Caenorhabditis elegans: one gene and its partners. The protein of the gene in region 2 interacts with the protein of the main gene of each other region in a pairwise test. Each region holds a gene or a part of one and is shown on either strand. Other genes may lie near its edges. The genes, in order: mlc-2, F41G3.10 and Y39B6A.1.

Region 1 (7,260 bases), on a different chromosome or scaffold from region 2:
GCTGAGAGTTTCCAAAAACTTTGAACCATCATGAAAATTTTAAGAAACTTTGAAGAAGTAACGTAGTGAAGTGCGACTTTGGATTCTGGTTGTCTGGGATCATATTGAGTCTAAACAATAATAAATGAAAATTTTCTAGCTCTCTAAAATAAATTTTTAAGGAAATGTATTATACCTCCTGAATTTGCCGGCTATGCTCACTCGAATTCGAATTAATGTTAGGGAGAATTACGATTCCACAAAATCAATTTTTCAAATTATCCTGCTGTGTATCATAAAACCCAAAAACTTCAATTTCAGTCTTTCACTTACCGACCGAATTCTACATTTTTCTGCGGGTGGCGAGTTGTCAATGATGGAAGGTTCAGATGGCCTGATGGCACCCGATTGGCGTTTGTCGATGGTAACACTCGTATTAATTAATGAATAAAAACTATATTATTAATTAATTCCAGGTGACCCGATCGATTACGAAGTATGGAAGGATACCGTTCTTGATCCGGATCAGTCGGAAAACATTGAGATTCGAATCAGTTGCCCTGCTGAAATGGGAGACTTCAAAGCCAGATTTCAATTTGTTACGCCACAAAATTTTTTCTTCGGTGGTGAGTATTAATGTCGTTAAACAGAAAAATTAATCATATGAGACTGATGCCAAATTTCCCAAAAAAAAAACTGTCAAAAGGTAGAACTACTGTAAAGGTTGAAAACAAGTTCATAAGGAAAATGTTAATATGGTTGAGAGACAATCTCAATTAGTTACTTGGTAAATAACATCAGTGTACTCGAGAACATTTTTAATAGAAAATTCAAATTTATATAACCGTTAGTGAACACATAAAACCGAGAAACCGTACTCCCTCTGTTAGTTTTGTAAATATTAATAAAGTCGTCATTGTTTGGGTAGATATAATTTTAAAGTGCTCACAGTCCATTTTTTTTTCTCCAATTTCAAAGGAAGGCATTTATATAGACCATAACGACCAAATTAATAGACCATAGATAGATTATTATAAATATATGATATCAAAATATGTTAACGCATAAATGCGCCTCCATTTAAAATTTTAGATATGAAACAAAAACTAATGCACTGTAAAAAAATAGCCGATGAACTATTGCAAAAGTATATATTCTTTGTAGTTTTTTTTTGTATTAAATTAGGTTTTTGTCAAAGATTGATCGTTTTTCTAAAATTATCAAACATTCTAAAAATTGTCTTGCAATATCTATTATTGTTGTAACCCAACAATGATACCCAACACTACTGACCAAGTGAAAGTTAGTCTTGCATGCAAGACTATTAGAGGAAATACGTTAATTGATACCGGAATATCGGAATGTTGCTTGAATAAATAGATAATTTTTAAATTGCCAAGTTGCTCAAAGACCGGAAAGAGCCAGTGCCGATTTTGTCAAAACATTCAAAAACAAACGAAGAAAACTTATTTTTTTTCTTTTTTGAACATTTATAAACAATGCCGGATTTTCAGCAACTTTCTAAAATTTTGAACAGTTTGCAGAGATATGAGATTCTGAAAATGAGTAATTTCAAACATTTTCTCTACTGGCTCTTTTCTTCCTTTCTCGTTAATTTTTGGAGTAGAAGTATTTAATAATTAGAGCTTTAAAGGTGGACTACACCCTGTGGGGAAATCGCTTCAAAACATGCCTATGGTACCACAATGGCCGAATATCATGATAAAAAAATTTAAAAAAATTTCCCTGATTTTATATGATTTTTTGAAAATTGAAAAAATGTCAGTTTTCCCCTAATTTCTATTTGAATTTCCGCCAATTGAACTCGTTCGTTGGAGCACGATTGCATTATTTTCATTATCTTTTTTTATTAATTTTCATTATTTCACTGATTTTCTTCATTTTTGGGGTTTTTTAATCGGAAAATGAAAGAAATATACAAGAAAAATGCAAATAGTTCATGAAAAAATCACTGAAATTGCCTAAAACTGTAAAATATACTAATTTCAGGCTCGTTGTCGTCGTATCACATAATTTCAGAGTTTTAGGCAATTTCAGTGATTTTTTCATGAACTATTTGCATTTTTCTTGTATATTTCTTTTATTTTCCGATTAAAAAACCACAAAAATGAAGAAAATCAGTGAAATATAGAAAATAAATTTAAAATAAACCTTAAAACGTAAATATAAACTCAGGTTCAAAACGGCTTGTACAAATCAGCAAAGATAATTTTTTTGAAACTAATCGAATTTCTTCAAAGACTTAAATATTATTCAGCTACTTCAGAAACCTCATAATTTTAATGTTTCCACATTTTCAGAATCAATCTGGGTTATCATTCGAGTGCGGCCACTTACTGAAGCAGAAGCCGCGATGGAAGTCTCCGCGCAACCAATGGATCCATTCCATCGGCAACTCGCTGTGATGTCATTTGTGGAAGGACCAAGTAGCAGTGGGACACATCCATCTCCAGTGCCTGATCCACCTCAAGAGGACATGATGGAATGATTCGAGACCTTGTAAATTCTATTGTTATTATTGTGATGATCATCAATTATTTACCGTGGGATATCTTAATCAAATGTAAATTTCAATGCAGTTATTGAATCAAAAGTAATCTTCTAACTATTTTACTTTTAAAATTCAACGTAGCTCGGGTTATCAGACATCTGGTAACTCTGTAATGAACCTTATTGAAACATATTTTCTCATTAAGATTTGTTCCAATTGTGATAGACACCCAGTACAGATTTGTTGCCTTTTCCACCTCTCGCATTTCTTTTTCAAACTATTCATCACTTTTTTCCCCAATACCTATTAGCCTTTTTATAAAATAACATTAGAAGTCATTGGTATCAACTAATTTTATCACCACCATTTATTGCACTAATCCATTGAAAGATTATAATTGGAGAAATAAATGAGAAAGTATTATTTGAAAGAATGTAAGATTTGTGTGCAATTGCCGGATGTTTAGGCGCTGGCGAGCTCGTCTTGGGCTCCGGTGGTGATGAGGTGAGCGAATGCCTTGTAGTCAACCTCTCCTCCCTCGATTGGTGGCTTTCCCTGAAAGAAGAGGAATTGGTAAGTTTCAATGATTTCAGAAAGAATGAATTTACCTTGTACATAGCCTTGACCTCATCCTCGTCTAATGGCTCTCCTCTCTTGTTTTGAAGGATCTTGATAAGGTCGTCCTCCTTGATCTTTCCGCAGTCCTTCTTATCGAACATAGCAAAAGCTCCAACAATGGTGGCCTCTGGGTCAGTTCCTGAAATTATTGCAATAATGAATTGAATTCCATTAGAAAATCTGAAAAGCCTACCTGTCAATCTCTCCCCGAAAAGGGTGAGGAAGACGGTGAAGTTGATTGGTCCGGATGCCTCCTTGATCATGGCGTCGATCTGGCTGTCTGGGGCGATTTGTCCCATGGATGCGTAGAGATCCTTGAGGTCAGACTAAAAATTGTTCATTAGTATCATTTTAAAACTTAAAAAAAGCTAACCTTGTCGATGATTCCGTCCTTGTTCTGATCCATGATTCCGAAGGCCTCCTTGAACTCCTGGATGGTCTTCTGGTCGAATTGGGCGGCCTCGGATCCCGAGCGCTTCTTTGAGGACTTCTTCTTGGCGGCCTTGGACATGTTGGAAAAGGTTCTCTACCTGAAACTCAGTTATTTGTTTACAGGTAGCACACAAAATTGTCGAAACAATGATAGAAGTAAATTGCTTGGGAAACGAACAAATTAAAATTAAAAATGCACCCATGAAAAGTATGAAGAAGAAGCCTTTTCCAAGTCCCGATCTTGTCGAGAGCATTGAGATAATAATGGTTGGTTGGTAGGCGTATGGGAAGGAGGAGTAGCTGGATGGGAGGAATGTGATACGAAAAGAGACCGAGAGGAGGTGCTCTCTCCACGGCGGGCAAAGTTAGTAGGCAATTGGTGGAGGGTGGCAGATTCCCGGGATGCCGTTTGAGATAGAGTGTAACACAGCGGGCAGCGATCAGTTTTGCCAGCAGAGATAATGTGTCCCAAGCAGAAGCTCGACACAAAGAGCGCTAGAAAGAGCAGTGCCCGTGATCCGTGCGCCGTGTCTGTGCTCTCTTTGGGGATCTCAGACTTTCTGATCACCCTCACACGGCCGGGAAGATATACGCAATATCTGTTTGTGAAGAAACGACAAACGCAAATATCTACAGAGTTGCGGCAACGCATGGGGGAGAGAATTTTTGGAAAAGCCAACTGTTTGGCTTCGAATATTTTCTCAAGTACATCTCTCTCAAAAGCAGGTAAAAGTTAAGGTGGTAGGCTTTTTGCTGCGCGCAGAAAAGCGAGGGTGGAGAGCAGGGAATCTAGGGATTTTTGGGAGATGAATGATCAGAGTTGCACTGAGGGTGGCCCATTAACACAAAATAGGAATTAGAAAGAATATAACTTTGAATGTTGAATGAAAACATGTAACATCGAATATTGTTTCTAATGGCTGAAGACAAATTAACAAGTTCGTAAAAAGAGAACAATTGAAAGGAATGTTTATAAGTGGTTTTTATTGTTTTTCTAGCAAGAACTTTTCCGAAGATAAAAAATTGAATGTTCAGATTGTTTTGTATCTCATGAGCCCAGTAGAAATCTTTACTACTTCATAAGTATGGAAATCAAAATAAAACATTACAAAACATAAATTTTTCGAAAAATTGAAATTATGTTCAACAAAAATGCCAAGCGACTGGAAAATTGTATCCAATGTTTCTTTGCCAACTTTAAAATTGTATATTTTGTTTCTAGTAGTTGTGCTTGCTGATTATCAAAAAATTGAAGAAGACATTGTTCAACAATTGATTTTTAGAGGCGACAGCTAATCTGAACTTGTGATTCTAACGTGTTGTAACAAATTTTCAAAGCGCGTTTTCCAGACCATCATCGTACTTTTCAAAACATTAATGGTTTACTGTTTGAAGTTTTCAGAGGAAACATTTGATTTACACAAATTGTTGTAATTGGAATTAGAACTATTGTTTATGCTTCAATTTCGTTAAAGCAATTTTTTCACAATTTTGTTTGATGTATATTGGAAAAAAAAATTCAATTATTCATTTTACAAACGGAAATTGTGGAGTGATAATAATAATAACTTTTACGAACATTTGTAATACGCTCATAATAAACATTAAATGATTTTTTCAAATTTACAAACAAACCAAAAAATTAACTCTTTTCGAAGTAAAACGTTTCAAAAATAAGTTAACAAACAGGAAGCAAAATTAAAAGCGTTTCTGCCAGCTGACGCATTATCTTAAAAGCTGTTTTCAGATAAGAGCACTGGTAGACAGAACACTCAATAGAAAATCAGATGAAAAAGTTTGAAAGTTGAGGAATCAAAAAAGTTATCCTTGTTAATTTAGGATATGAGTAAGAACCTCTTGTCACACTAATTCTGATGGAAGGTTTTTTTTTCTGAATCGTTTCTGAATTGTCTCCAATGAGAGTATAGTTCGAAACACAATTTTTGTCTGTTATTCAATGACATCAAAATTATTGATTTCAAAAATAGCTGCAAATCCTAAAATCAAAAATCACTGCGTATGTCAAAACTTTGAAGATTGTGTGAAAATCAATATTTGCTCTGTTTCATCCTATCTTAAAATACGCCCGATTAATTATTTCATTTTAACAAAACTTGAAAAAAAACTATACAAATAGATTTCACAAGTAGTTGAAACAATTAGTAGGAAAATTATAATTTATACCAGAAAAATATATGTCAAAAAAAATTATCGTTAGTGAAATATTATAAACAGATATTACTGGAACCATCTGATAAATTCAGTATGTCCCATTTAGTCATGTTATGAAAATTAAAATTTATAATCAAGTTCCAAAACAAAAGAGTTTCAGATTTTCAAGTTTTCAATTATCCTGTTTGTTGGAAATGTTGAATTTAAACCTTCCTTTCCAACTCAAAACAAATTCTGATTATGTTGTGCCCTGCTCAGATTTAAAGCTCGGATGATCTATTCCCTTTCCCTTATTGCATCCCCTCATTTATCCGATCGAGCAACTTTTTCGATGGCGGGTAAGAGGCATCGCGACGCAAGCAAGGCGAGAGTTTTGCCCATCTTCTTGGAAACCTCCGACGGGTGCCTGATGTTAGCACCACGGGGGCGGTGCGCCTCTTGTGTAAAGTTGTTGAGATTTGCTCAAACAGCCCTCCCCTCGACGCGGGGCCCAACGAGTGTAAAAGGCAGACAAAAGCGACGGATAATCTTCAGTTAGTCTCAGTTCACTACTCAGTACAGTCCACAAAATGGTGAGTTGGATTTTTTAATAAGTTATTTGAAAAGCATGAGTTTCTGTATAGGAATAGGAGTGCGTTCATATATATTTTGATTTAACCTGTCTATATTGTATTTAAAAAATTATTTATTTTGAATCAGAGGTTCTATAATCAGTTTCATCTTTAAAAAATTTCTGGTAAATTAAGAACGTAACATTTAGATTTAGGCTTTGTTTAAAAATCAAGCAATTAAATCGACTATAAAATTGTCAATATGTTCTCAATTTTCCAGTCCAAGGCCGCCAAGAAGAAGTCCTCAAAGAAGCGCTCGGGATCCGAGGCCGCCCAATTCGACCAGAAGACCATCCAGGAATTCAAGGAGGCTTTCGGAATCATGGATCAGAACAAGGACGGAATAATTGACAAGGTTAGAATTTTTCTTATTTTTTTAATGGTTCTAATCAACAATTTTTAGTCTGACCTCAAGGATCTCTACGCTTCCATGGGACAAATCGCCCCAGACAGCCAGATCGACGCCATGATTAAAGAGGCTTCCGGACCAATCAACTTCACCGTCTTCCTCACCCTTTTCGGAGAGAGATTGACAGGTAGGCTAATTAAATTTGATAAGTTAATGGTGATTTGAATCTATTTAATTTCAGGAACTGACCCAGAGGCCACCATTATTGGAGCCTTTGCCATGTTCGACAAGAAGGACTGCGGAAAGATCAAGGAGGACGACCTTATCAAGATCCTTCAAAACAAGAGAGGAGAGCCATTGGACGAGGATGAGGTCAAGGCTATGTACAAGGTAAATTCATTCTTTCTGAAATTTTTGAAACTTCCCAACTCCTCATTTTTTAGGGAAAGCCACCAATCGAGGGAGGAGAGGTCGACTACAAGGCCTTCGCTCACCTCATTACCACCGGAGCCCAAGACGAGCTCGCCAGCGCCTGAACATCTCCAGCCCACAAGCAATTGCAACCACTTTGGGAGTGGCGTCAACGT
Region 2 (7,269 bases):
GAAAAATCTTCAGAAGAAGAGCTCAGTCATTTCAATTTCAGCTAGTGATTTCCGATAATAATGTATGATCCTTTATACTCTTTGTCCAATTTGCAAACAGTTAACTACTTGTTTTATTTGAATAAAAAATCTAGAAGTTTGACTCACAACCATTGGAGACAAAAAGGGCTTGCTGTGCAAATAGTGAAGGCAATTGAAGGTGCGATATAAAAATGAAATTTTGCAATTGTAACAAATCAGATTGTTTCGAGCTTACTAACTACTTGAAAAATGCAACAAATAACTTTAGTTGTCCTTGCTGTTTTGTGCTCTTATTCTTGGGGATGCGTCGATTTAACGAATCCAAGAACTGGAACCAGTGACTGTGCTAGACTCGCTTCTTACTGCACAAATTCGGTGTACCTGTCTCTGATGAGACAACAATGCCCAAGAACTTGTGGATATTGTAAGTTGTTTTGACCAAGTAGGAGCAGGCAACAGAATCCTCAATCTTGTGACAAACAAAATACAATTGCACCTTTAATGTGATCTTATATCAGGCAACTCCTCATCTTCCACAGCTACATCTGTTTCTTCAACAACTTCCTCGTCTTCAACTTGTGTAGATCTCACTAATCCAAGAACTGGAACCAGTGACTGTACTAGACTGGCGTCTTACTGTACAAACTCGGTTTACATACCACTCATGAGAACGCAATGTCCAAGAACATGTGGATTCTGCACATCTGGATAATTTGTAATTTGTGTTTTATTTTCCAAGTTAATGTATTATGTATCTATTTATACTTTCAAGGTCGGTAATTTAAAGAAAAAATAAAGTTTTGCAAATTTTTATTGTCTTATGAGAACATGCTGAAGCGTAACTGTAGTATACGCTACGCTGAATGAACATGTACAAATGTTGCGGAAGTTTGAAGTCTTTGGAATGATGCTTCTGTTCAAACAATAGTGTCTGTTGGGCCCTCATTATATATGAAAGGATTTGAAGAAAAAGATACCAACTTTATTCAGTTCTGTCAGAGGCCTAAGTATACTTCCCGAACATCCGAGTTCAAGATGCAAACAACTGTACTTTTTATTATGGCGGCTCTGTGCACCGTATCATGGGGTTGTGTTGATTTGACTAATCCATCGAATGGTGTCAGTGATTGTCCAAAGATGGCTTCTTACTGTACGAATTCGGTATACTTGACTCTTATGAAAACTCAGTGCCCCAAAACCTGTGGATACTGTAAGTTTATTATACTTTTGGAAGATTTGCAATGTCATCAACTTTAAAGGTACATCCTCATCGTCCACATCTTCCACAACTTCATCATCATCAACTTGTGTTGATTTGACAAATGCTAGCACTGGAGTCAGTGATTGTACTAGAATGGCTTCTTACTGTACCAATTCCATATACTTGACACTCATGAAGCAACAATGTCCAAAGACTTGTGGATACTGCACTTCCGGTTGAATTCATGATTCATAGAATTTCATGTGGCTCGTTGAAATTGTAATAAATTTAATACTGGAAGTTAATAATGGGGACTGATAATAAATAATGCACATATCAATTTGTTTTTCATTGCTATATAAAAAAAGGTTTTCGGTGTGACACGTTTAGGTAAATACTATTTTCATTTTGAAAGAATGTTTGAAAAATCAACAACCCGAACATGTAACTGATCTGTGATAAGTTTTCATATGACGTGATCTCTCTGATTGCCTCTGTCTCTCGGATTTGTCTCTCTGATTTGTCCAAATGAATTCATCACTTCCTTGAAGTTAGTTAAAAAAAATAATAGGGACTCTAAAGAATCTGAGGAAAACATAAGAAATGCCAGTTGAAGCTGGATAATGTTTGTATGAATAAACTACAGGAACCGGCAAACCCTGGCACAATTTTGGCCGTAATCATGAAGTGCAATTATTATAAAATCTCAAATTAAGATCTATGATCTATAAATAGTACCAGGTATATGACTTTAATTAGATTTGTTCTTGATTATTGAAACAGTGGATTTCTGCTTTAAAATGATGCGGAACTTTGTTTCCTAACACTTCCTGTCCCCAATGCTTCTGCTCAAATAAATAATCGTTGGAGAATAAAAAGTTTTCAATATTTGTCAGATATTCCTTTAAAAAGGATCTATCCAGGGTGGGATTAACAGCAATTATTTTAAATGTTTTCTCTCATTTTATTCGTTTGTTTCTCTTCATTTATCGGCTTCTCGTCTCAACAGAGTTACGGATGCACCTCGGATCCTCAGCCAGACTTGAATGGGGCTTGTCCAGATGACTTCACATATATCACCGATAGTGGATGTTGTCCAGATGCTGATTTATACAGTAACTTTATTGAAAATTAGTTTTCAAATAATCGTAGTTCCATAATTTTCAGCAATCACTACAACTGCCGCGGCAACAACCACGGTTGCAACAACAACTGCTACTACTGCTACAACTTGTGTTGATTTGACTAATCCTAGTACGGGAGTTAGTGATTGCCCTGGAATGGCTTCTTATTGTGCCAACTCTGCATACTTGACACTCATGAAGCAACAATGCCCGAAAACTTGCGGATACTGTAAGTTTTGAAATTTACTTTCTTAAGAAACATTTTATGCTGAAACATAAATCGAATTGGACATCGAGTTTTGGAGAGGCGCCTTTTATTTTTCGGTAAACTTTTCACCACAATTAGAAATTTATATGTGGCTGTTTGGCTGGAAGAAGTCATGTTTGAACACTTTCAGCAAAAATACTTTTGCCTAACTCTAAGGTAAGGGTTCTCGAAAAGTCGGCTCGTAAGTTTGCCGTATATTTTCATTTAGCTGCCACTTGTACTTATAAGTTTAGCAATTTAAGTTTAACAACATCAATTTCAAAAGCAAAGAAAAAGGCTAACTGAAGCTCTTTGCGAAGTTATATATTTTTTCAGGCACATCATCGTCTGCCACCACTACGTCATCTTCATCCACTTGTATCGATTTAACAAATGCTTCGACAGGGGTCAGTGACTGCCCAGGTATGGCTTCATACTGTACCAACTCTGCATATTTGACACTTATGAAGCAACAATGTCCAAAAACCTGTGGATATTGTAAGTAGTTTTCGACAAGTTAATATTTATCGTTAATATGATATGATGTACATTTTAAAGGTACATCTTCGTCCTCTTCGTCTTCATCTTCGTCTACCTGCGCTGACCTCGTAAATTCTTCAATCGGAGTTAGCAACTGTGCGAGCATGGCTTCCTATTGTACCAATTCTGTTTATTTGTCCTTGATGAAAACCCAATGCCCAAAGACCTGTGGATATTGCACCTAATCTTACATGTTTTTTAACAATGTCGATGTCACATGTTGTAATAGTTTGCAACTCTAATAAAATATTATTCATTTTATCGTTCAAACATTATGTTTTTTTTTTCAATTTCCAAAATCCTAAGTCCACTAAACTTTGCCCCATTTCGCGAATGAAACTCCCACGAAATCATGCGATTTATTGATACAGTTGCTTTAATTCGAAAACTATTCAAATACCAGTCATAGCTATGTGTGATATTTGCTCGAAAATGGTTTAAAAGCCCACTCGTTCACAGTTAGACACATTTCCAGAGTACTCTATTTTTGCTATTGTTCCCTCTTTCTATTATATGTAACATTTCCAGAGTAATAATGCTGTTCCAACTTCTGATTGTTGCTGCTTCTATCGGGATTTCGGTTCAACAACTAGGATGCAACTCCGTACCAATGCCGGATCTTAATGGAGCTTGCCCACCAGGAACCACACTCATTGCTGGAAGTGGTTGTTGCCCTGATGGAGACGTTTTCAGTGAGAATTTCAGATATCGCCGGTTTCATGAACCAAATTATTTCAGCAATCACCACAACATCTACAGCAGCAGCTGCTGTCACAACCACCAGAACTTCAGTGACTTCAGGAACATGTGTTGATTTGACCAATCCAAGCACAGGAACCAGCGACTGTACTAGAATGGCATCATACTGTTTCAACAGCTTCTATCTCACCCTAATGAGACAACAGTGCCCAAGAACTTGTGGATATTGTAAGCAGATATCCCCTCTTCTCTCACTCACTACAAAATTCCAATTTCAGGTACTGGAACTGCTACCACAACCAGAACCTCAACTACTTGTGTCGATTTGACAAACCCAACCACAGGAGTCAGTGACTGCACAAGAATGGCTTCTTATTGTAATAATTCGGCTTATATCACCTTAATGAGACAACAATGTCCAAGAACCTGCGGATACTGTAGGCTAAAATCAACATTTTCAATATGATATCTAAATGTTTAGGCTCTGGATCAGGAGTAGTCACTACTACTCGTACTAGTACAACTTGTGCTGACTTGGTCAACCCAAATACAGGAACAAGCGATTGTACAGCTATGCGTTCTTATTGCAACAACTCAGCATATGCCACTTTGATGAGACAACAATGTCCAAGAACCTGTGGATATTGTACTTCTGGCTAAAAAAATTACTGCGAACGACGTAGTCAAGCTCAAAAGCTAAAACACGTAGTCTCAATAAATAATTTTGAAGAATTCAAGAACTTTTATTAATTTCTAGATCCGGCGTCATCCATCCTCAATTTCAGATTCGTCTTTCGATCTCATATCTTCGTCCTTTTTTCTTTCCATTTTCATTTCTTCTTCCCACTCGAATGATCCATTGTGTTGACAATTTTCCAGGGCAAAACTGAAGGCGTCTTTATTTTACAGCACTATTTTAATTTTGATTTTACCTGAGCAATCCACGAATAAGTGCATAGTCAGGTGCATCGTAGAAGCGAAGATTGTCAATGTAAAGGAGAATATGAACAAGTTGTTTTGGGCATCCAGAGAGGAATTCACGCAATCCTGAGAAAATATTGTATACTTTATCAGTTTGTAAAGCTGTTTTCTCACCCGTAGTTCTTGCAACTTGCTTAGAATGCTCAACATGAATATGTTCTTCCATAGTCATCCAAGGCAATGTTCCAACTAAAAGTTCAACCAAAACATAAAAGATTGTTTCCAAATCCTCTTTACGACAAGAATCTCTTCCATAATGAGTAGCCAGTGGTGCATATCGAACAGTTCCCCTAAAACCATGAACAGACCATCTTGGATGTCTCAGTTGAGTTCCTCCATCATTCAAATATTTCCGGCACATTCCAAAATCGACCATCACAAGTTGATGTGGATTGTCGAGATTTATGCAAAAGTTGGCAGGTTTTATGTCACGATGAATGAATCTGAATTATTGAGTTAAAACACATTAATGATAATAAATGTTTTGTACCCAATGGAATGAAGTTGTTGGATGGCATTGATCATTTGAATTCCAATTTGAAGACCAGTTCGACGTGAAAACTTTCGATTCGGGCAGTTGGCACGAAGCTCGCTCAAATTCTTTCCGACAAGAGTCATAATAAGGAAATTGAATTTTTCCGCTTTCCCGCAAAAGAAGACACGACAGAAATAAGGTGAACGAATTGGGAGAAGGCTTCTGAAATTAGCTTTTGGTTGTATTGAGAAATATTCATAGAACCTGATACCTGAGAACAACAGCTTCCATTTTCAAATTTCTAGTTTCAGAGCTTCGGCTTTCAAGTTTCAGAGCAAATGGTAGAGTATTTATGTGATCGACCTGAAATGGAAACTACAATTAATTTCTGTGGGAAGCTTTTCAATTTTTGCTAACTTATTGAATGAAAAAGATGTATCATTCTTAAATTAAACTTCAAGGAATTTCAACATCCAATTCAAAAGTGATATAAATTTAATTTGTTCAATGTGTGCCCTATATTTATATTAAATCATGCAAATGTTCATTCCAATTTCACAAAAAATCATAACGTAACATTCAAGCAGAAACTTTAAAAAATTAGCTGAATCATCCAACTAATTCGATTAAAATATTATTTTCAAGTTTTTTCAGCTACAGAAGAGCTAGTGATCATAAAAAAAACACATATTTATTTTCACGAACACTTCTGTATCTGGAAATTTGAAGTCTTCTAGTTATCATGAATAGATAAATATAATATATGTTTAGAACTGCACATCAAGGAGAGCACTGCTTGTTGCTCCGTGTCGTTGTGAGCACCATGGTGACGTCAAAAAATAGATTGAGGGTGAGAAGACAGAAAAAGTGCACAAGCACTTTGCAAACAATATATAAATTTTCTAATGCGCGTATAATAATAATAATAATAAAACCCCGAAAAAATATTATGTAATACCTGATAGACAGCTCCAAATGCTCCTTTGGCGATAAACCGTACGACTTTATAGTCTAGAAGCCGATATCCTTTATCCAATTCAACGCCTTCAGAGACTTGATTCTCACTATTTTCTAAAGATTCGTGCGTGGCATTGACAATTGGAAAAGTTTGATGTTACCTTTACAAACCGTTCCCATGTTTCAACGGTGATAAATACACAAAATGAATAGAAATAATTACGAGACGGAAAATAAACATGATTATTTATCTTACGTTGTCTGTGGTAGAACTTTTCACGCACACTTAACAAAATATTTTTGAAATGTTCATAATTTTTACGTATAGGATCGTGATTTAAATTTTGAACAGAGGCTTTTTATGGTAGTTAATTCTGTGTTTCCGCTTTAATACCATCTTCCCTCGAGCTCAGCTTTTTCTTCTATAGATAATACCCCGAGTTCAGTCCAAACCTGTTACGCATAGAATATTCCTCTATTTATGAACTTTTGATAATTTTTTTTTCAACCAAGATATAAGCTTTCAAACTACGGTAATTCTAATATGGAAAATACTTTAGACCTCATTCCTAAATTGTCACATATTCTATGCCTTCTGCCTTTGATTTCTTCGTCTGAAATTTGGCAAGAAATCTGTTTACTAGTAAATTCATTTTCCAAATTTGTAGCTTTCTAGTCTAATTACACAGTCAGAAATCTGAAAATGAATCATACAATTTTCATAATATCAAAATGCAAAAACATTAAATTGTAGGTTTGGTTATCACTCAGAAAGATACACTTTTTTCGGATAAAACAATAATGTTTCTATTTCCATCTGCAATGAGTCAACTATTCAATTATCTAAACCACATTAGCATATCATAATGTATTGAAGATTAGAAACTAAACATAATAAGTAGATTACAGAACATATAATCTTATAGGACATCTGAAAATAATCTCACCTGCTACTTGGTCGAGTGACGTCAGTAATCCCCGTGTTTTAAGATTATAACTGATTTTCTCGATCTTCAGAATGCTC
Region 3 (8,903 bases), on a different chromosome or scaffold from region 2:
ATTGATTACAAACTTTGAAAAAAAAAATTAAATATTGCTGAAATTGCTTGTAAAGCCTCAAAAAATCGATAAATTGGAGATTTTTTTTTCAAAAATCGGAAACAATCCAAAATTTTGAAAATTTCAGTTTTTTGAATTTTCAAAAAACTTTTTTTTTTTTTGAATTTTTCAGATTTTCACTGAAAAATTCTACAAAAATTTTTTTTTTTTTTTTTTTTTTAATATTTGCAATTTTTCAATTTTCAGCCCCGATTCACGCCATTCGACGCGGTTCCACATCCGAAATTGCCTCCAATGGCCTACGCGAACAGTCTTTTCGGATTTAATTAGGCCGAGTTAGGCCTATTTTCAATTTTTTCCCCAATTTTTTTTTGTGATTTTTCTTCTCTTCTCTTTTTAAATTATCGATTTTTTCTTTTTTTTTTCTTCGTTTCCCCCCTCAAAAATCTTGTTTTGTTAGCCCAGCCCCTCCCACCCCCACCCCTACCTCCCCCAAACATTTTGGGTCTCGCCACGAAACGAAAATCTCTTCCACGCGGGACCCCTTTTTCCCATTCCCAGGGGGAATTTCCCACACACACACACACACTTTTTCTCTCCCCGACATCCCAGTTCTTATTATTATGATTATAGTTATTACACGAAAGATTTCAGACAAATATGAAATTTGCATGATTAACTTGTTTGGAAAAAAACACAACAAAAAAATTCGACCACGGCGGGGACTCGAACCCCGGAGGTGTGATTGGTAGTCGGCGAGAATTTTCTAGAAAAACCACCCAAAACTGGATAATGCGCTGCTAAGACTACAAACTACAAGATTTTGGGCGCTGCTAAGACTACAAACTACAAGATTGTGGGCGCTGCTAAGACTACAAACTACAAGTTTTGGGCGCTGCTAAGACTACAAACTACAAGTTTTGGGCGCTGCTAATTCAATTTTGGGCGCTGCTAAGACTACAAACTACAAGATTTTGGGCGCTGCTAAGACTACAAACTACAAGTTTTGGGCGCTGCTAATTCAATTTTGGGCGTTGCTAAGACTACAAACTACAAGATTGTGGGCGCTGCTAAGACTACAAACTACAAGATTGTGGGCGCTGCTAAGACTACAAACTACAAGTTTTGGGCGCTGCTAATTCAATTTTGGGCGCTGCTAAGACTACAAACTACAAGATTTTGGGCGCTGCTAAGACTACAAACTACAAGTTTTGGGCGCTGCTAATTCAATTTTGGGCGCTGCTAAGACTACAAACTACATGATTTTGGGCGCTGCTAAGACTACAAACTACAAGTTTTGGGCGCTGCTAATTCAATTTTGGGCGTTGCTAAGACTACAAACTACAAGATTGTGGGCGCTGCTAAGACTACAAACTACAAGATTGTGGGCGCTGCTAAGACTACAAACTACAAGTTTTGGGCGCTGCTAATTCAATTTTGGGCGCTGCTAAGACTACAAACTACAAGATTTTGGGCGCTGCTAAGACTACAAACTACAAGTTTTGGGCGCTGCTAATTCAATTTTGGGCGCTGCTAAGACTACAAACTACATGATTTTGGGCGCTGCTAATTCAATTTTGGGCGCTGCTAAGACTACAAACTACAAGTTTTGGGCGCTGCTAATTCAATTTTGGGCGCTGCTAAGACTACAAACTACGAGTTTTGGGCGCTGCTTAGACTACAAACTACAAGATTTAGGCGCTGCTTATTCAATTTTGGGCGCTGCTTAGACTACAAACTACAAGATTTTGGGCGCTGCTAAGACTACAAACTACATGATTTTGGGCGCTGCTTAGACTACAAACTACGAGTTTTGGGCGCTGCTTAGACTACAAACTACAAGATTTAGGCGCTGCTTATTCAATTTTGGGCGCTGCTTAGACTACAAACTACAAGATTTTGGGCGCTGCTAACACTACAAACTACAAGATTTTGGGCGCTGCTAATTCAATTTTGGGCGCTGCTTAGACTACAAACTACGAGTTTTGGGCGCTGCTAAGACTACAAACTACAAGTTTTGGGCGCTGCTTAGACTACAAACTACAAGATTTTGGGCGCTGCTAAACTACAAACTACAAGATTTTGGGCGCTGCTAACACTACAAACTACAAGATTTTGGGCGCTGCTAATTCAATTTTGGGCGCTGCTAATTCAATTTTGGGCGCTGCTAAACTACAAACTACAAGTTTTGGGCGCTGCTAATTCAATTTTGGGCGCTGCTAAGACTACAAACTACAAGTTTTGGGCGCTGCTATGCGATTTTTCGTATAAAAAACCTAGTTTTCGACTGTTTTTTCGGCAAAAAATTGGAAAAATGAAGAAAAAGTGAGTTTGGGCGCTGCTAAAACTACAAACTACAAGATTTGGGCGCTGCTATCGCAATTTTTCATGTTTTTTTTCTTCGTTTTTCTCCACTAAACACAATGAAATTAATTTATTCGACACGGAAAAATTGGTACAAAAAATTACAAATTCGCTAGAAAAATCGATACAAACAAAAAAAAAAGGCTGTTCAGGATTTATCCAAAAAGTACATGTAATGCAGTGACGCATCAATTGTGGCGAGCAGAAGCTCATCGACCGCCCGTCTAGTGGCTCTTCTTATGTGACTTCTTCGTGTGCTGCTTCTTTGAATGCTTCGAATGGTGTCCATGATGGTGGTGGTTCTCCTTGTCGTCATGGTGTCCGTGGTGGGCTCCGTGATGGGCTCCGTGCTCGTGGTGGGCTCCGTGGTGTCCGTGGTGAGCCGGGGAGTGATGGGCTCCGTGGTGGGTCCCATGACCTCCGTGATGTCCGTGATGTGCTAGGGAGTGGTGGGTTCCGTGGTGTCCGTGATGGACTCCGTGAGATCCGTGGTGATGATCTCCATGGTGTTCGTGATGCTCATGGTGTGGGGCGTGGTGGTGGTGGGCTCCGTGGTGTCCATGGTGAGCTCCGTAGCCTGCTCCATGATGTCCGTGATGAACTCCATGCTCCCCATGGTGTCCGTGGTGAGCCGGTGCGTGGTGACCATGCCCATGGGATTCGTGGTGTCCGTGATGAACTCCGTGAGATCCGTGGTGTCCGTGGTGTCCGTGATGAGCTGGAGCATGGTGGTGCTCCCCATGATGTCCGTGGTGAGCTGGGGAGTGATGGGATCCGTGGTGTCCGTGGTGGGTCCCATGTTCCCCGTGGTGTCCATGGTGTGCTGGAGCATGGTGGTGCTCTCCATGATGTCCGTGGTGGGTCCCATGTTCCCCGTGGTGTCCGTGGTGTGCTGGAGCATGGTGGTGCTCCCCATGATGTCCGTGGTGAGCTGGGGAGTGATGGGATCCGTGGTGTCCGTGGTGGGTCCCATGTTCCCCGTGGTGTCCATGGTGTGCTGGAGCATGGTGGTGCTCTCCATGATGTCCGTGATGAGCTGGAGCATGGTGGTGCTCCCCATGATGTCCGTGGTGGGCTGGGGAGTGATGTCCGTGTCCATGGGATTCGTGGTGTCCATGATGAGCTGGAGCATGGTGGTGCTCTCCATGGTGTCCGTGGTGGGTCCCATGTTCCCCGTGATGAGCTGGGGAGTGGTGGGTCCCATGGTGCTCTCCATGATGTCTGTGGTGGACTCCGTGCTCGTCGTGATGAGCTGCGTGCTCATGGTGCTCTCCTTCCTTGTGCTCGTGATGAGCTCCATCCTTGTGCTCGTGGTGCTCATGATGGGCTGGAGCGTGCTTCTTCTCGTCCTCAGATTCTGAGGAAGATGAGGAGCTGGAGCTGGAGCTGGAGGAAGAGCTAGAGCTAGAAGAGCTCGCGGCCTTCTTGTGATGCTTCTTTCCGTGGCTCTTCTTGTGATGCACCTTCTTCTTCTTCTTCTCGTCTTCAGATTCCGAGGAAGAAGACGATGAAGAAGAACTGGAAGAGGAAGAGGAGCTGCTGGAAGAGCTGGAGCTGGAAGCGGCCTTCTTGTGATGCTTCACGTGCTTCTTGGCGGCGTGCTTCTTGTGATGGTGCTTCTCATCCTCGGATGAGGAAGAGGAGCTGGAGGAGCTCGAGCTCGAGCTGCTGGACGAGCTAGACTCGGCCTTCTTGTGATGCTTCTTCACGGCATGCTTCTTGTGGTGATGCTTCTCGTCTTCGGACTCCGACGACGAAGAAGACGAGCTGGAGGAGCTGGAGCTAGAGGAGCTTGACGATGAGCTGCTGGAAGAGCTCTCAGCCTTCTTGTGATGCTTCTTCAGATGCTTCTTGGCATGCTTCTTATGGTGATGCTTCTCGTCTTCGGACTCAGATGAGGAGCTGGAAGAGGAGCTTGAGCTGGAGCTCGAGGAGCTGGATGAGCTGGAAGAGCTAGACTCGGCCTTCTTGTGATGCTTCTTAAGATGCTTCTTGGCGTGCTTCTTGTGGTGGTGCTTCTCGTCCTCGGATTCAGACGAAGAGGAAGAGGATGAGGATGAGCTGGAGGAGCTGGAGCTCGAGCTGCTGCTGGAGGAGGAGCTGGAGCTGCTCGAGTCCTGAGCCTTCACATGGTGATGGTGGTGGTGGACCTCGTGGTGGCCTGGATGGGCTCCGTGAGCATGATGGGTATGGTGACCGTGGTGTGGGGAGATGAAGCTCAGGAATCCTGAAATATTCCTGTTTATTAAGAGATTCCAAAGCTCCGGACCAACCTTTCAATGAGATGTGTCCATCATGAGCATGATGATCAAAGACCTTCTGGAAGTGGAGCTCCTTGGCCAGGTGCTCAATATCGTGGAGCGCCGAGCGAGCTTCATCCCGAGTGAGCTTATGCCCGTGCGAGGAGTGCTTCGAGAAGAGCTTCTCTGAAAATTATCATGATCTTTGACTACCGTAGGTGATACTAAGAAACTACAACTGATAACATGTCAGTTGTGTTGTGTTGGCAAACATTTCCGAAATTTTCTAATTTTTTCGGTAATTTCACTGATAAGAATGATCTTTGGCAGGAAGCGCCGAAAACTCACTGATCTTGTGAAGCGACACGTGGTGGGTGTGATGATGATGGTGCACCGTCATTGTTTAGGTTCTGGAATTTTCAGAATTTTCAGAATTTTACTCGAAATTCAAAGTTAAGAGGGATTTTAGAAGTAAAATCGAGAAAAAGCCCCGAAAATTTTGATAATCACCGTCCTCCTCCGCCCCATTTTATAAGCTTTTTTTAGGCTCCGCCTCCCTTAAGTTTGACTCCGCCCATTTTGACACGGGAGGCAATTAAAAGTTTTGATGATGTTTGGAGAAGTGAGAGATCGAGATAAGACACCCGGAGAAGGAGAAACGTGAAAATTTGGGACGATGATTGTCAGAGTGATGTAATATTTGGGGAGGTAATAGGAGAGGTGATGAAGTCTGACAGCTGTTGAGCATCAGCATTTGATTAATTTTCAAAATTTTCAAATTTTCAGCTGATTGTATTATAGTAGTTCACTGAAGGGTTTTGTGTGAGAAGTTGGAGGTTTTTGTGATTTTTCGGGTCTCGGTAGGTTCTAGCATACCGAAAAAGAGCCTGACCTTTGGACACTGACCTTTTCTGGAACGTTTAACTGCTTCCAATAAGCTTCAAGTGGCTCCGAGCAGCCTGATTGCTAAAATTTTCTAATTGTTTCAGTTAGATCATAGACATTTCTAGCGGCTTCCAACTAGTCCTAGACCCTTCCAAGTACTTCTAGAAGCTACCAGCCTGACCTAGGAGTTCAAAGCCTGGCCTAGGCGCCCAGCAAGCTTTCTGAAGGCTTCAATTTGCTTTTAGTAAGCCTTGTGATCGTCTAGCAGATCTAAAGTGCCTTCACGAGCTCTTAGTGATTCCGAAAAGCCCGACTGCTGAAATCTTCCAATTGCCTCCAACAGCTCATAAATGTCTCTAGAAGCTTCCAGCCTGACCTAGGAGTTCAAGCAAGCTTTCTAAAGGATTTAATTTGCTTCTACTGAGCCCTGTACTATTCTAATAGGCCTCAAGTCCTTTGTGAGTTCCCAGTGGCTCCTAGCAGATTTTAGCAGCTCCGACGAGCACGGCTTCTAGCAGCTCCCTATTGGTCCGATAAGCTTCTATGGGCCTCTAGAAGCTCCCAACTGGCTTTAGCTGCCCTCAAGAGCTCTGAGCAGCACTGGGTTGCTTCAAGGTGTTAGATTCCTGGTTTTCCAGATTTTAACCAAATTCAGCAGCTCTGATTGGGCTTTCGGAGCTTTCAGCACCCGCCGACCTTTCCCAACTGCCCCTAAAAACTCCAAACTGTGTTTTCTGAAGAGCCACACCCAAAACTGCTATTTTATGAGCCTGTGGCATTTCCAAAGATGATGGCAAACTTTTAATGGTGCTCTTAACACCTTTTTTTTGTTGGAAATTCGAAATACTAGTTTTCTAGTTTTCCAAATATCATGTGATCATTCAATCTTGCAATGGTGGTTATAATTCATTATTTGCACCAACAATTAATACTCCTTATCTCTATAATGTTCTTAATTTGCTGCAATTGAACTGGTTTTTGAAGTACCAACTACACTTTTTGAAGGTTTCCGGTGGAAAATTCAGGAGTTTGAGCAATTTTGTCAGAAATTTCCGTTTCCTGACAATCTTCTGGCTTCAAAATTCGAGTTTTTGACTTTTTCTCAAAAAAAACCGGGAAAATTAGGAGAAAAAGCTTCAAATCTGGATAGTTTTTCCGGAAAAACATCGAAAATCGATGTTTCCTCAATTTTCCTGAAACTTTGATATTTTTTGGGCCTTTGACTTGAAATTTCAAGCATTTCACAGCATACTGTCGTGGAATTCATACAGGCAGCCTAATTTTTAAGATCCTTGACTTTTTTCCAGTTCCTGTACATTTTCAGCATTCGGGAGCAATTTCCGCCCCACGTTCCGAAACCAAAAACCGCAAAACTATTCGAAAAATGTGCCATCAGCAGGTTTTTCTCTCTCCATAATTGATTATCGGTCATTCTGCCGCTGCCACTCGTTTTTCCTCTTCCTTATCAAATTTTGATGTAGTTTTACGATTGCTCCGAGAATATAGAGTGGCCCCACGTGACAAAGTTTCCGGGAACGGTTACCCGAATCGTGGCAACGAGAAGAAAAAGACGTGAATAAATCAAAAACTGCATCTGGTGGTTGAGGTTTTATTGCTTTTCGCTGACAAATTAATGAGAATTGCATTTTAATGAGAATTCCGCGTGCAAAAATGTCTGCATTTGCGCGTGACGGTGTTTGCACAAATTACACCGATTGGTCGAGCTGAATACGCGATTTCGACTGAAAATTCCGGTTTAGAACGGGATTTTCAGACAATTCTCACGGAAAATTGCCCAAATTCCTGGGATTTTTTTTTAAAATCAGTAGAAAGTTCAGAAAAGCACGGGAAAATCAATTTCTATGCCAAAAGTTGTACTCTTTCGAGAGAAACACGGCGAATATCATTTTAAAAAGGAGATTTTTGGCAATTCTCACTGGAAATTTGCCGGAAGGCTCTGAATTTCACAAAACATCAAGACGAATGCTCGAAAATCGGCTGCAGAACCGATTTCTAGTAGTTTTGTTGATTTTTTCCATTGAAAAACGGGAAAAATGTGTGTTTTCGAGAAATTCCTTGGAAATTCCATTGTAAACCGGTATTTTCGGAGAATTTTCAGAGAAATTGCCCCGAGGAGCTCTGAATTTCTTCAAAAACCTCGGAAATCCCATTTATACCGGAAAACTCTCACGATTCTTAGAGAAATTGCCTGAAGGCTCTGAATTTCTCAAAAAATTGAACGGAATTCTGAAAAATCGGCTCCAGAACCGATTTCTAGTAGTTTATTTCTAGTATAACTATATATAAATCTGTTTTTTTTTGCGAGAAAAACCGAATTTTTCTTTAAATTCTTCGAGAAGTTGGCACAAGGGTCCCGGAAAATCCATTTTAGTCCGGAAACTTGCCGGAGGTTTCTGAATTTCTACAAAAATCAATAGTACGCGTTGAAAAGTGGACAAAAAGTCGATTTCTACCAAGAAATGTTAGTTTTTCCCACTTTTTCGAAGTAAAAAGTCAATTTGACAACCAAAATAGCTCTGAAACTAAACTTTAACCCAAAACACATAGAAGTTGTAAAAAATTGTGGAAAAAGTTGGGAAAAACCACACTTTCATTGCAATTGAGGGTATTATGAGTCACTATTTGCACGGCAAAGTGACGAATTTCTGACTTGTTGGTTTTTATAGTGTTATCTGACGTTTGGCATGAATTTGAGTAATTCTGAACACGAATCATAGAAATTTCATTTAAAATCTAATGAAAAATCCAAAAAACTGCAGATCTTCACAACAGATGGGATATTTTTCCAAAAAACGCGAATTTTTAAGCCAAGACCAAGAAAATCCCGAAATTTCCAGCAGTTTAAAGATCTAAAACAGAACTTTACAATAACAACTCAACAAGTTGCCGATCTTTTGACATTTACCATAAAAAGTTGATCGCAATATTTTAATGGGCCTGCTCTTCCACGCCACGCTGCCATAATTTTTTTTTCCAATGATCTCCTCCTCTGCCATTCGGGACGAAGGGTGTGATAAGGAGTTTTGACAATCGACGGCTACGTGTCTGTGATAACAGAAAGGAAACAAACAACTTTCATGATCTACGATGCAACTTTGATCGACGGGGAGCAGGTTTTCCGGGAATCCAATTTTTTTTAGCAAAATGTCTGAATTAATGTGAAATAGGTAGCGAGTAATAATAATAGTATACTGCAAAAATTTCAAGCCAATCGGACCACTTTGAACCAAGTTATGACGTTTTGAAATTTATGGGGCAGCCGCGACGCGACCGCAGCGCACGCCGAAAGTTTTAAACAGTCATAACTTGGCTCAAACTTATCGCAGAGCTCTAAAATTTTTGTCAAGTATTTGAATTAGTCAACTGAACGTTAGGATTCACTGAAGTGTGGCT

Evidence for each region.
Region 1: the proteins of F41G3.10 (region 2) and mlc-2 interact in a two-hybrid assay, tested with the Caenorhabditis elegans proteins (one large-scale study listed by BioGRID).
Region 3: the proteins of F41G3.10 (region 2) and Y39B6A.1 interact in a two-hybrid assay, tested with the Caenorhabditis elegans proteins (one large-scale study listed by BioGRID).

Annotation. Positions count from the first base shown.
Region 1 is NC_003284.9:17,452,948-17,460,207, forward strand, and holds mlc-2 (Myosin regulatory light chain 2), read right to left. Parts: upstream 3,640-7,260; 5' UTR 3,621-3,639; coding exon 3,483-3,620; intron 3,436-3,482; coding exon 3,303-3,435; intron 3,249-3,302; coding exon 3,100-3,248; intron 3,047-3,099; coding exon 2,954-3,046; 3' UTR 2,845-2,953; downstream 1-2,844. Other genes in the region: C36E6.2 (Nbr1 FW domain-containing protein), read left to right, coding at 301-403, 456-605, 2,301-2,488; mlc-1 (Myosin regulatory light chain 1), read left to right, coding at 6,283-6,285, 6,545-6,679, 6,728-6,860, 6,915-7,063, 7,117-7,209.
Region 2 is NC_003280.10:6,745,915-6,753,183, reverse strand, and holds F41G3.10 (ShKT domain-containing protein), read left to right. Parts: upstream 1-3,661; 5' UTR 3,662-3,668; coding exon 3,669-3,825; intron 3,826-3,871; coding exon 3,872-4,060; intron 4,061-4,110; coding exon 4,111-4,269; intron 4,270-4,313; coding exon 4,314-4,492; 3' UTR 4,493-4,564; downstream 4,565-7,269. Other genes in the region: srx-95 (7TM GPCR serpentine receptor class x (Srx) domain-containing protein), read left to right, coding at 1-58; F41G3.21 (ShKT domain-containing protein), read left to right, coding at 271-445, 540-733; F41G3.19 (ShKT domain-containing protein), read left to right, coding at 1,057-1,231, 1,281-1,462; F41G3.20 (ShKT domain-containing protein), read left to right, coding at 2,172-2,337, 2,390-2,575, 2,930-3,091, 3,152-3,318; F41G3.5 (non-specific serine/threonine protein kinase), read right to left, coding at 4,598-4,718, 4,765-4,879, 4,928-5,256, 5,304-5,510, 5,560-5,651, 6,247-6,359, 6,407-6,425.
Region 3 is NC_003283.11:19,198,594-19,207,496, forward strand, and holds Y39B6A.1 (Histidine-rich glycoprotein-like), read right to left. Parts: upstream 5,015-8,903; 5' UTR 5,005-5,014; coding exon 4,953-5,004; intron 4,791-4,952; coding exon 4,638-4,790; intron 4,592-4,637; coding exon 2,589-4,591; 3' UTR 2,420-2,588; downstream 1-2,419. Other genes in the region: pph-5 (Serine/threonine-protein phosphatase 5), read left to right, coding at 247-330.